Linked DNA regions of Neurospora crassa OR74A. The protein of the gene in region 2 interacts with the protein of the main gene of each other region in a pairwise test. Links are inferred from orthologs where the notes say so. Each region holds a gene or a part of one and is shown on either strand. Other genes may lie near its edges.

Region 1 (4,411 bases), about 1.8 Mb from region 2:
ATGAAGCGCGCGCGCGCCCAAGAGGCCAAGATCCTGGCTTCCGGCGACCTCGAGGCCCTGGCACCCAAGATCCCGCTACAGAAGCAGTCGGTCAACCTCCCCGGAGCTGTGAACGGCGGCGTGCAGGATGCCGTGCTGGCGGACGAGAAGCGGGAGGAGCTGCGCAAGGCGATGCGCAAGGAGCGCAAGGCCAAGATTAAGGAGAGTAACTACCTCAAGGCTATGTAAGCATGAGGGGTGGTGGTGGTTCGAGAGGCAGAGGCCCGAGGGAGGACGAGGACGAAACATGGGAGGAGATGGGTGGGAAGGAAGAAAAAGAAGAGGGGGAGCACGTGAAGGGAGAGAAGGAGGGACGGCTAGAGCAGCAGCAGCAGCAGCAGCAGCAGCAGCAGCCGAGTTGATGTGGTGGGCTCGTATGTGTACTAACATCCAACCGTCCAAGAACGACTTCATGGTATGGCTACCTACGGGCACGAAAGCGGACATGGACATGGGGGAATTGTCCTGAATGTAAGAAAACTATATACGGCTTCAGGAGGGTGAAGGGCCTGAGAGCCCTGGAGTGGACAGCCAGAGAGCCATTTGCTATGGTTAGATCCAAAAACGATTCTGTACAAATACATGTGATTCAGTTAGTAACCATAAATTATTGAATGTTTGGACAACAGGTCAGAATTTTGCTCGTGTGCTTGCTTCCCAAGCATCGGTAAATATATTGCCTAACAAGTGCCATTTCTTTGTGCCGCTCGTTGGGCATTCTCAACTTGCTGCTATTCACTGACTTCTGAGTTTCTGGCTAGCATGATATAATATGGCCCATACGATAATCCTTTCTCTGAAATAGATTCCAGGTCCATAACAGCACAGCTTGGATACCCCCTTCAATCTTCCTCGGACACCTCACCAATCGAAGATTGCTTCAGTTTAATCTCCGACTTGATGTTCTTTATACTGCCTTCCAGACGTTTCTTCATGATAATGCTTGTTGCCTTGGACAACTGCTCCTCGTACGAGGCCAGCTGCTTCCTCAGTGTGGCAATCTCAGCCTTGACTCCCGCCACCTCATCATGGCGCTCTTCATCGCCGTCATCGTCCATGTCACCCTCATCATCCTCGTCGTCTTCATCTGATTCGTCCTCCTCGCTGACTGCTTCGGCCGCACTCTCCTCGGTTTGTGCAGCGGTAGGCGTACCCGTGTTGGCGGTGGGGGGTGTGGGAAGATCCATGCCGCCGCCTAACGCCGTGGGCGTGGCAGCGCCAAAGTCCATGGCGTCCATTGCTTCGGCAGGTGTGTCTGCCGCGTTTTCGAATTCTGCCTCGAGATCGTCGAACAGGTTGTCGTCGTCTTGGTTCTGCATATTTGCGTCCCCGAAATAGTCCTCTAGTCGGTCTTCTTCGCCTCCCATGCCTCCGTCCTCGTCACCGTATTCGTGATCGGACTCGGGCGCAGCGGTATTTCCGTGCCCGCCCTCTGCTACAAGCTCGTACCTGGAGTTGAGGGCTTCCCTGTCTGCTGCCAGCAACCGCTCGACCTCGGCTTCCTTGTTCTGGATTTCCAATTTGCTGAGGCGTTTTCTAAACCTCCGGTTTCGTGCATCATGCATCGGCGGGGTGATACCATGGGGCCATCTGTGGCCATGCTCGACAGCCTTGGGTAAAGGAACCGACTTGGCCTCCGCCTCGTCTTTGACCTTAGCAAAGACAAGGATCATTTGGCAAATGTCGGCTGACTTGACCATGGATTTCTTATCCCACGTCTTCATGCCCTCGGTGATTGTGGGTAGATCAACCAGAATAGCGGCGTACGGTTGCCCTTGAATAACAAACATTACTCGCCGTCCTTCTTCATCCAGAAACTTCATTGTAACATCGGCGCCACCTTGATGTTTAGGAACGCCCACTTTCCTTTCAGCCACGGCTTTCCGGAGATAGTCGCAGTGCTCACCAGGCATCATGCGCAAGATCAGCTGCTCTTCAATTACTGGGTCGACTTCCCTATCATCGGCCTCCGAATCGTAACCCTCCCCCAGCGGCCGCGTCGGTATTTTGCCCTGCGATTTTAGGCGAACCTTGGGAGCTAGAAGCGGAGTTTGAACTGGGGTTGTGCCCGAAGGTGCCTTGAGCGTGATCTTCTTGGGCCTTGACTCTCCCCCAATGCCATTCGCTGTCGGACCGTCCTCCGCCTCGGTCTCTTCTCTTGGTCTCTTTCTCGCCGCCGCGTTCAAGAAGACTTTACTTGCCGTCTTGGGCTTGGACATGAAGATGTTGGGAGCAGCCGAGCTTCCTGTTGATATCCGTGGTTGTGTCGGCTGAGATGAAGTGTTGGAATGCGACGGCGGTCTCGGCCCGGCTGGTGTTGGTGGTTGTGAGGACGTGCCCTTGACGTTGAGCTTGATCTTGCGAGGGCCCTGTGAGCCCCCCGGTGTCTGAGGAGGTGGCGAGGCGGCAGAGAGGTTATGGCCAGGCCCAGGTGTAACTGCCGGTGATCCCGTCCTGCCTGCTTGAGATGAGCCATTGGATTGAGTGTTGATTTTGAGCGTCAATGTCCGCTTGACTGGCCCTGGTGGGTCCATGTTTGCTGTTTGTCGTTGCGCAAGGCGCTCTGGTAATCCGTTTCAGCGGTTTGCTGCGGCGTCTTGAGGTCGTGTGACGATGAGGACGTTGAGGAATAAAGCGAATGATCCAGAGATCACTCGGAGGAAATGCTCAATCGCTGAGTACTGGCGTAGGTAGTATGGATAGTCGGCGTCGAATCGGGCGGGAGGCACCGGTACGAGGTGACCTCTAGGTATTAAGAATGGGCGGCCGGTCGTGACTGGACAATGATTTGACCGTCAAGATTTCGATGAGGGCGAGGTGATGACGGACAGGCGCGATGCCTCTTTGTTGCTACCGGGGGATGTGGATCGAACAAGGTACGGCGGAGGTATGCTCTTCGCGTTCTTTGGCGGGCCTGGGCGAGAGCGGGAGGTTTCTTGGTGGGCGGGGAGGAAAGCGGGAGGTGAGGCGCGCTCGGTGCAGCTATCAAAGCCGCTGTTGCGACAAGCGCGTTCTGAAAGTGGAAATGATGCAACGAGCGTCAGCGTGGAAATGTTAAAGTGGGTGGGCCCCCTTTAGCTAAAGTCCGTCGTTGCACGGTCCAAATCGGAGCTTGGCTTTCAAGACTCCACTACGGTTCCTCAGCGGCAGGTGGGGTACAATAGAAACGTGCCGCTGTCCAACTGTTCCAGAACGTCCTGTGTACTTCGACTTGACATGTGCTTTCCTGATGAAAATCACCCATTCTAGTGTAGAGGTATCAATGCGACTGGCCCGAGTGAGAAGAAGGTTTGGGATTGCCAAGAAGCTTGTATTCCTCCAAGATACTATTTTACCTCTTATACTACTTTGAATATAGCACGATGCCGTGACAATGTGGACCTACTTTTATGCCTCCTCAGTTTCACCCGCCAAGACCCCGGAAACTCTCTATGCCTTCTGTCTTTCATCCAATCCTCTTTTATTTCCTTTCCCTATTGTCAACCATAATTAACAAACAAAACTTTCCTAATACGCATGCATTGGCACTCTTCGTCGGCTTGTGACTTCTTCGATATTACGCAGTGGCCTTCACCTCCGGCGAGCGTTGAAGGGACCCAGTTCCAAGAACACACTGCACGGCAGTGACGATACCCATCCCCGCCCCACTAGAGCTGCCTGCCGCAAGCCCGCAAACTCCCTCGAAAACCTAACCCACCTCGTCGCCTGCGATTGAATTGGAGGAAAACCAATTTCCATCTGTTGCCAGCAACGCGCTGCTAATCGCCACGGTTCAGCCCAAGTCATTTTTCTTGGTATAGCTGATCAGTCTCCGACTCTGACTATTTGTCGTCCCCACTGCATCGACAAGCAAAAAGACACGAAACCTCGCAGACAGTGTCTCGACAACGAAGAACAAGTGCACGAGGCCAGGCGCGTATGGCAGTTCTTGATCTGCAGCGCGCCCATTCACCTACCCTCTTGATTGTATCATATCCAATCAGACCTGGCACCTTTGTAGACGACAACCTTTCCCAACGACATTTCTCGAGCAACGCGACGCCATCCTCGACATCAAACCTACCTAGCTGAAACCGAGCGACTCTCGCCAACATGACACCCCCACCATACCTCTACCACGCCCTCCTCCGGCCTTCGATTCTCCAGATCCTCCGCGCAGCCGGCTACCACGGCGCCCGCACCTCTGTCCTCGACTCAGTAACTGATATGGCCGCCCGCTACCTGGACGCACTCTGTCGCCTCACAGCCACCTTCGCCGCGCACAATAACGAAGAGCCCGAGACGGGCGAGCTGGTACCAACGATAGTCGACGTGCGCATGGCCCTGCAGCAAATCGGCGCTCTGTTACCCGAGAAATCGGAACTGGAACAGC
Region 2 (4,561 bases):
CGCTCACAGTTCACCATGACCTGTTTAAGGTCAAGGACGACGCTGGGCGTAGGGACCTCGGACAGCTGCTTGCCGACGAACCTCGCCCTTAGAGCATCTTGCTTTTGCTTCAACTCTTCCATTACGGGGTTTGCCATGGTGAGCAGTGTGGTATTTTTGCCCTCGAAACTTCACTTGGTGTGCGAGGTAAAGAAAACGGTGCAAAAGGCGATGACGAAGCTGCTATGGTAGACGCAGTATGACTGTGGCCCACAATATCGGCTGATTTGTTACATTCTTTAAACCACCTAATCCAGTCATCTCAAGAAAGAGGAATAGTACCTCTAGTAGGTAAATGTAGCTTTGGCTTTACCGACAGCCTAGTACGTAACCATGGCTTCGGCCGTGGCTTTAACACAGTTTCCCACTGTACGTCAAAAACACCATTGGTAGTGAGTGTACTGTTGCTGAACTTCATGGCCCTGCCAGTTCGCAGGGTATAACATCCGAACTGTCATGCCAAAAACGGGCTGAGCACTGGTATGGGCGTGCGAGTGTGGTTGCAGAGAAATGAGAATCCAGAGAGACTGGAAATGACATCTCGCATCAGTTCAGGTGTGTTCTGCCCCCCACGTTGCGGGTGACATTGTGGCCATTTGGCCCGAACAGAGAGGGAGACGGGACTTAAGTTGCGCGTCACTCTACTGTTGTAAGAGATCAATTAATCAGTATTTGATTTCGCTCTCGATTCATGTCTCTTCGCCTCCAACGGGGTCCTATTCCTTCTGTACCTGCCGTTGATTTGGTTGTCACACAAGGCGGGGAAGCTTTAGTTCTTCCTCCATATTCTTTACTTTACCTGGATGGTACTTGTAAGTTGTAGGTGAGGTCGCATACCGTATAGACTCGGGGCGTTGGTTTTCAACTTTCTGGGAAATCAGGCCTAAGCTGTAAGCATACTGCAACATTCATGCCCACCAAAAATTCTATGCAAGACGGTGATTTTGAATGTCTCCACGCTCCAGCGCCCTTGAAAAGATAGGTGTTTTAAGGCAGGACATTGAAGAATCGAATTTACCGTGCTTCGGGGTGGCAACATGGAAGTCTCCTCCAATTAATTTTGTGGACATAAAATGCACATAATCGGGCAGCATGCTTACAGGTTATGCCTGATTTCCTAGGAAGTTGAAAATCAACGCCCCGAGTTTCCAGGTTGTACAGTTTAGGTATTAGGTACCTGGGCTACCTACCTCTACCTCTACCTGTACCTACCTACCTATTCCAGGTTCCTTACCAGATTCCCAAAGCAAGTTCCAGGTTCAACGCTACCTAGGTATTATGCTTCAAGACCAGGGACAGTGTGCGCGAGCCATTCACTGCACTTAGCGTCCCCCAGTCACTGCCCTGGGGCTGCTCGCTAGGTATCTAGAATAGGTAGGTACCTAGGTAGGCTGTCACACGGCTGCCAGACCCGGGCCCGGTCAACGGACCCACTTAGAGGTACCTAGAGTAGCCGTGCAGTGGCCCCGACAGGCCGATTCGTTGTTCGCATTCAAGCACGCTTGCACTCCGCGCAGTGGCAGTGTGCTTCCTTGCTTGTGGGAGGTTCAACACTTTTGCAACTTCCGCTAGGTACCGTTGCAACCTCAACGTCAACCTCACCCTCGACTCACCCGACGGCCATTTCGACTCTGCCACAACCACGACCCAAAATTGCATGCGGCGTTGCCAACACCCCACCAACACCGAACGCGCGCTTGGTTCACTTTGCTCCCCCGCCGCGGGCATTCTCGACGATTTCTCCGCTCCAGGATCATGATCTGACAGCTTAACCGGCCGCGCAACCGTTGGAGGGAGCAAGAGAGAGACGGGCGGACGACTGCGCGACAGACGACAACACACAGCGTTGAGGCGGCATCGCCTCTCCGCCCGGCAAGATGCCCGCAGACAACGACGACTTTGATTTCAACGCCCTCAATGAGGAAGGATGGAAGGAGCAGGAGGCCCGCGATGAGGAAGCCATTCGCCAGATCAACAACAGCTTCGGCCCGGGTGGTAACGATGGTCTGACTGAAATGCTGGGGAACCTCCAGTCGGGAGGCGAGATCGATCAACGAGGCAAGGCAGACGATGCCATCGACTTTGAGGACATCGACTTGAGCGACGAGGACGAGCTACCCAACGACGAACCGAGCACTTCCGGCACCAGTGGCGAGCTGCCAAGCCTCATCGACGACGCCGGCACTAATGATGACGACGACCTCTTTGGTGGCGACCCCTCATCGCCCATGGACACAGCTCACGATGGCCTGAGATCCTCTCCCCCGCCGCTCGACGTCCATGACGATGTTGATGCCAAAAAACGTCCGGATGCTGCCGCCGGGGAGTCCCTTGAAGACCTCCGGAACCTCAACTTCGACAATGACGAAGAGCCGCATGCGACAAATCAAGATCCCGACATTCCTCCGCCAGCGGAAAACTTCATCGACGCCGTCAAGCAACTATTCCCCGGTTTTGAGGAAAACGCCATCCTGCATTGGAACGAACTATTGAAGCCCAAGAATGCCACATGGATCTCAAAAAAGCCCCCCAAAGCTCCCAAGCCCTTGATACCATCAAAACTCAGTCTGGAGTTGGATGCCGATCAGGAAAAGCAGTTCCGGATTCCGGGCCCTGCCACTGGCTCCGTTTGGCAGAGGATTAAGGAAGCGGAAGCGAGAGGTCTGTTCTGTCTCGAAGAGCCAGAGCCTTTGGAACAAACCGATCTGGAAGTATTCAGCTTGGACGACGAAACGGATTCGGAGAGGATAGGTGGATATACCCTCCAGGACATAGCTACGATATGTCAGGACTGGGAACAGATGATTTTCTTGGGCGACAGTCTTGCGGCTGCCATCGAGCCGGGACCGCAGCCGAAACCTGACAACATGCTCATTAAGGATGAGCCTGATGAAGAGGCGGACTGGGATGCCATGTTCCTCGATGAGCCTGCTCAAAAGCGGAGAAAGATCGAAATTCCTAAAGGTCTTCCTCCTATTGCTCACTTCACGGCTCCAAATTTGGACGAATTCGAGCAGGTCACTTCGAAATTGGGCAAGCGTGTCATCCTTGACATGAACGACCCTTATTTGCTGATAGACGACGTCGAATCTGAGCGGTCATCTAAGCGGCGAAAGACCCAACATAAAACGGTCCGCTTGGCGAATGGGAAAGCTGGGCGGGACCTTATACAGCGGTTCAATTTCTCCTCTGACGCTGCTTACGACGCGTTGAAGGAGAACAGCCAGAATAGGGTTCGGGCCACGTTGGCTACTATCCCTGTCGAGCACAGTTTGCCTGCGCAGAGACTGTCTTGGCCTTACTACCGCGTCAAGCTCGCGGCCAGTGACCCTCATAGTTATCACCGGCCTCAGCTCCACCCTAAGAAGGATCTGCAGTATCTCATCAGGTTCGACAAGCCTGCCATTATCAAGCGCAAGACTCTCAAGGGTAAACGCGTCAGCGAGGTATTTAAGAGTACTCATGACCTCTCCCTCAACGACAACTCGACCGCTATCCTTTTCGAGTACTGCGAGGAAATTCCCACCGTTCTCTCCAACTTTGGCATGGGACAGAAAATCATTAATTACTTCCGTCGAGCTAAAGGCGCTGATAGCAGACCTGAGAAGCGTGAGCTTGGCGAGACTTGTATATTGATGCCAGAAGATCGCTCACCCTTCGCCATCTTCGGTCACGTCCACCCTGGCGAGGTCGTGCCTACTCTTCACAACCACATGTTCCGCGCCCCTATTTTCAAGCATAACCCGAGGAATACAGACTTCCTGATTGGTCGTAGCAGTACCGGCCAAAAAGGCTCAACTTGGTACATCAGAAATATCGATCATCTTTACGTTGTCGGCCAAACCCTGCCCTCCATGGAAGTCCCAGGGCCCCATTCCAGACGTGTTACAAACATTGCCAAGAATCGTCTCAAGATGGTCTCGTATCGCCTACTTCGCAAGAGCGAGCATGTTACCCTCCATGATATTACTAAGCATGTAGCTGAGTCCAACGAGTCTCAGAATCGTCAAAAGTTGAAGGAGTTCCTGCGCTTTAGAAAGGAAACAAAAGATTGGGCGCTGCCCGAAGGCGAAGAGCTAATGGCCGAACCGGCCATTCGATCTCTTGTTAGGCCGGAAGAGGTCTGCCTATTGGACGCCATGCAAGTGGGCTTGCACGAGATCGAGAAGGGTGGTTATGATGCTACCGATTCCCTCAAGGACGATGACATTGGGGTTGATGTGAACGATGAGCTCTCTCCAGATGCTCTTGCCAACAAGATGGCGCCTTGGAAGACTACCAAGGCATTTCTTGACGCCAGTCATGGCAAGGCTATGCTTGCAGTTCATGGCGCCGGCGACCCGACGGGCAAGGGACTGGGCATCAGTTTCCTGAGGACGTCCATGAAAGGCGGCTATCTTGAGCAGCTCCAAGGACCAATGGCCACATCAGCAGATGCCATAGAGAGGCAGCGCAAAGCGAACGGTGGGCACATGTACAACGTCAAGAACCAGGACACACTCTACACCGAGGCTCTTACCGA

What was found.
Region 1: the proteins of hat-2 (region 2) and NCU03095 interact in binary tests that used the Saccharomyces cerevisiae proteins (3 or more experiments, as listed by UniProt). The link is inferred for Neurospora crassa OR74A from reciprocal best matches to the Saccharomyces cerevisiae genes TAF1 and TAF7.

The regions. Positions count from the first base shown.
Region 1 is NC_026501.1:4,523,079-4,527,489, forward strand, and holds NCU03095 (transcription initiation factor TFIID subunit 7), read right to left. Parts: upstream 3,057-4,411; 5' UTR 2,574-3,056; coding exon 882-2,573; 3' UTR 660-881; downstream 1-659. Other genes in the region: NCU03094 (hypothetical protein), read left to right, coding at 1-228; NCU03096 (bromodomain associated domain-containing protein), read left to right, coding at 4,132-4,411.
Region 2 is NC_026501.1:2,719,882-2,724,442, forward strand, and holds the start of hat-2 (histone acetyl transferase-2), read left to right. Parts: upstream 1-1,539; 5' UTR 1,540-1,916; coding exon 1,917-4,561. Other genes in the region: NCU16368 (hypothetical protein), read right to left, coding at 1-137. UniProt on the Saccharomyces cerevisiae protein: Functions as a component of the DNA-binding general transcription factor complex TFIID. Binding of TFIID to a promoter (with or without TATA element) is the initial step in pre-initiation complex (PIC) formation.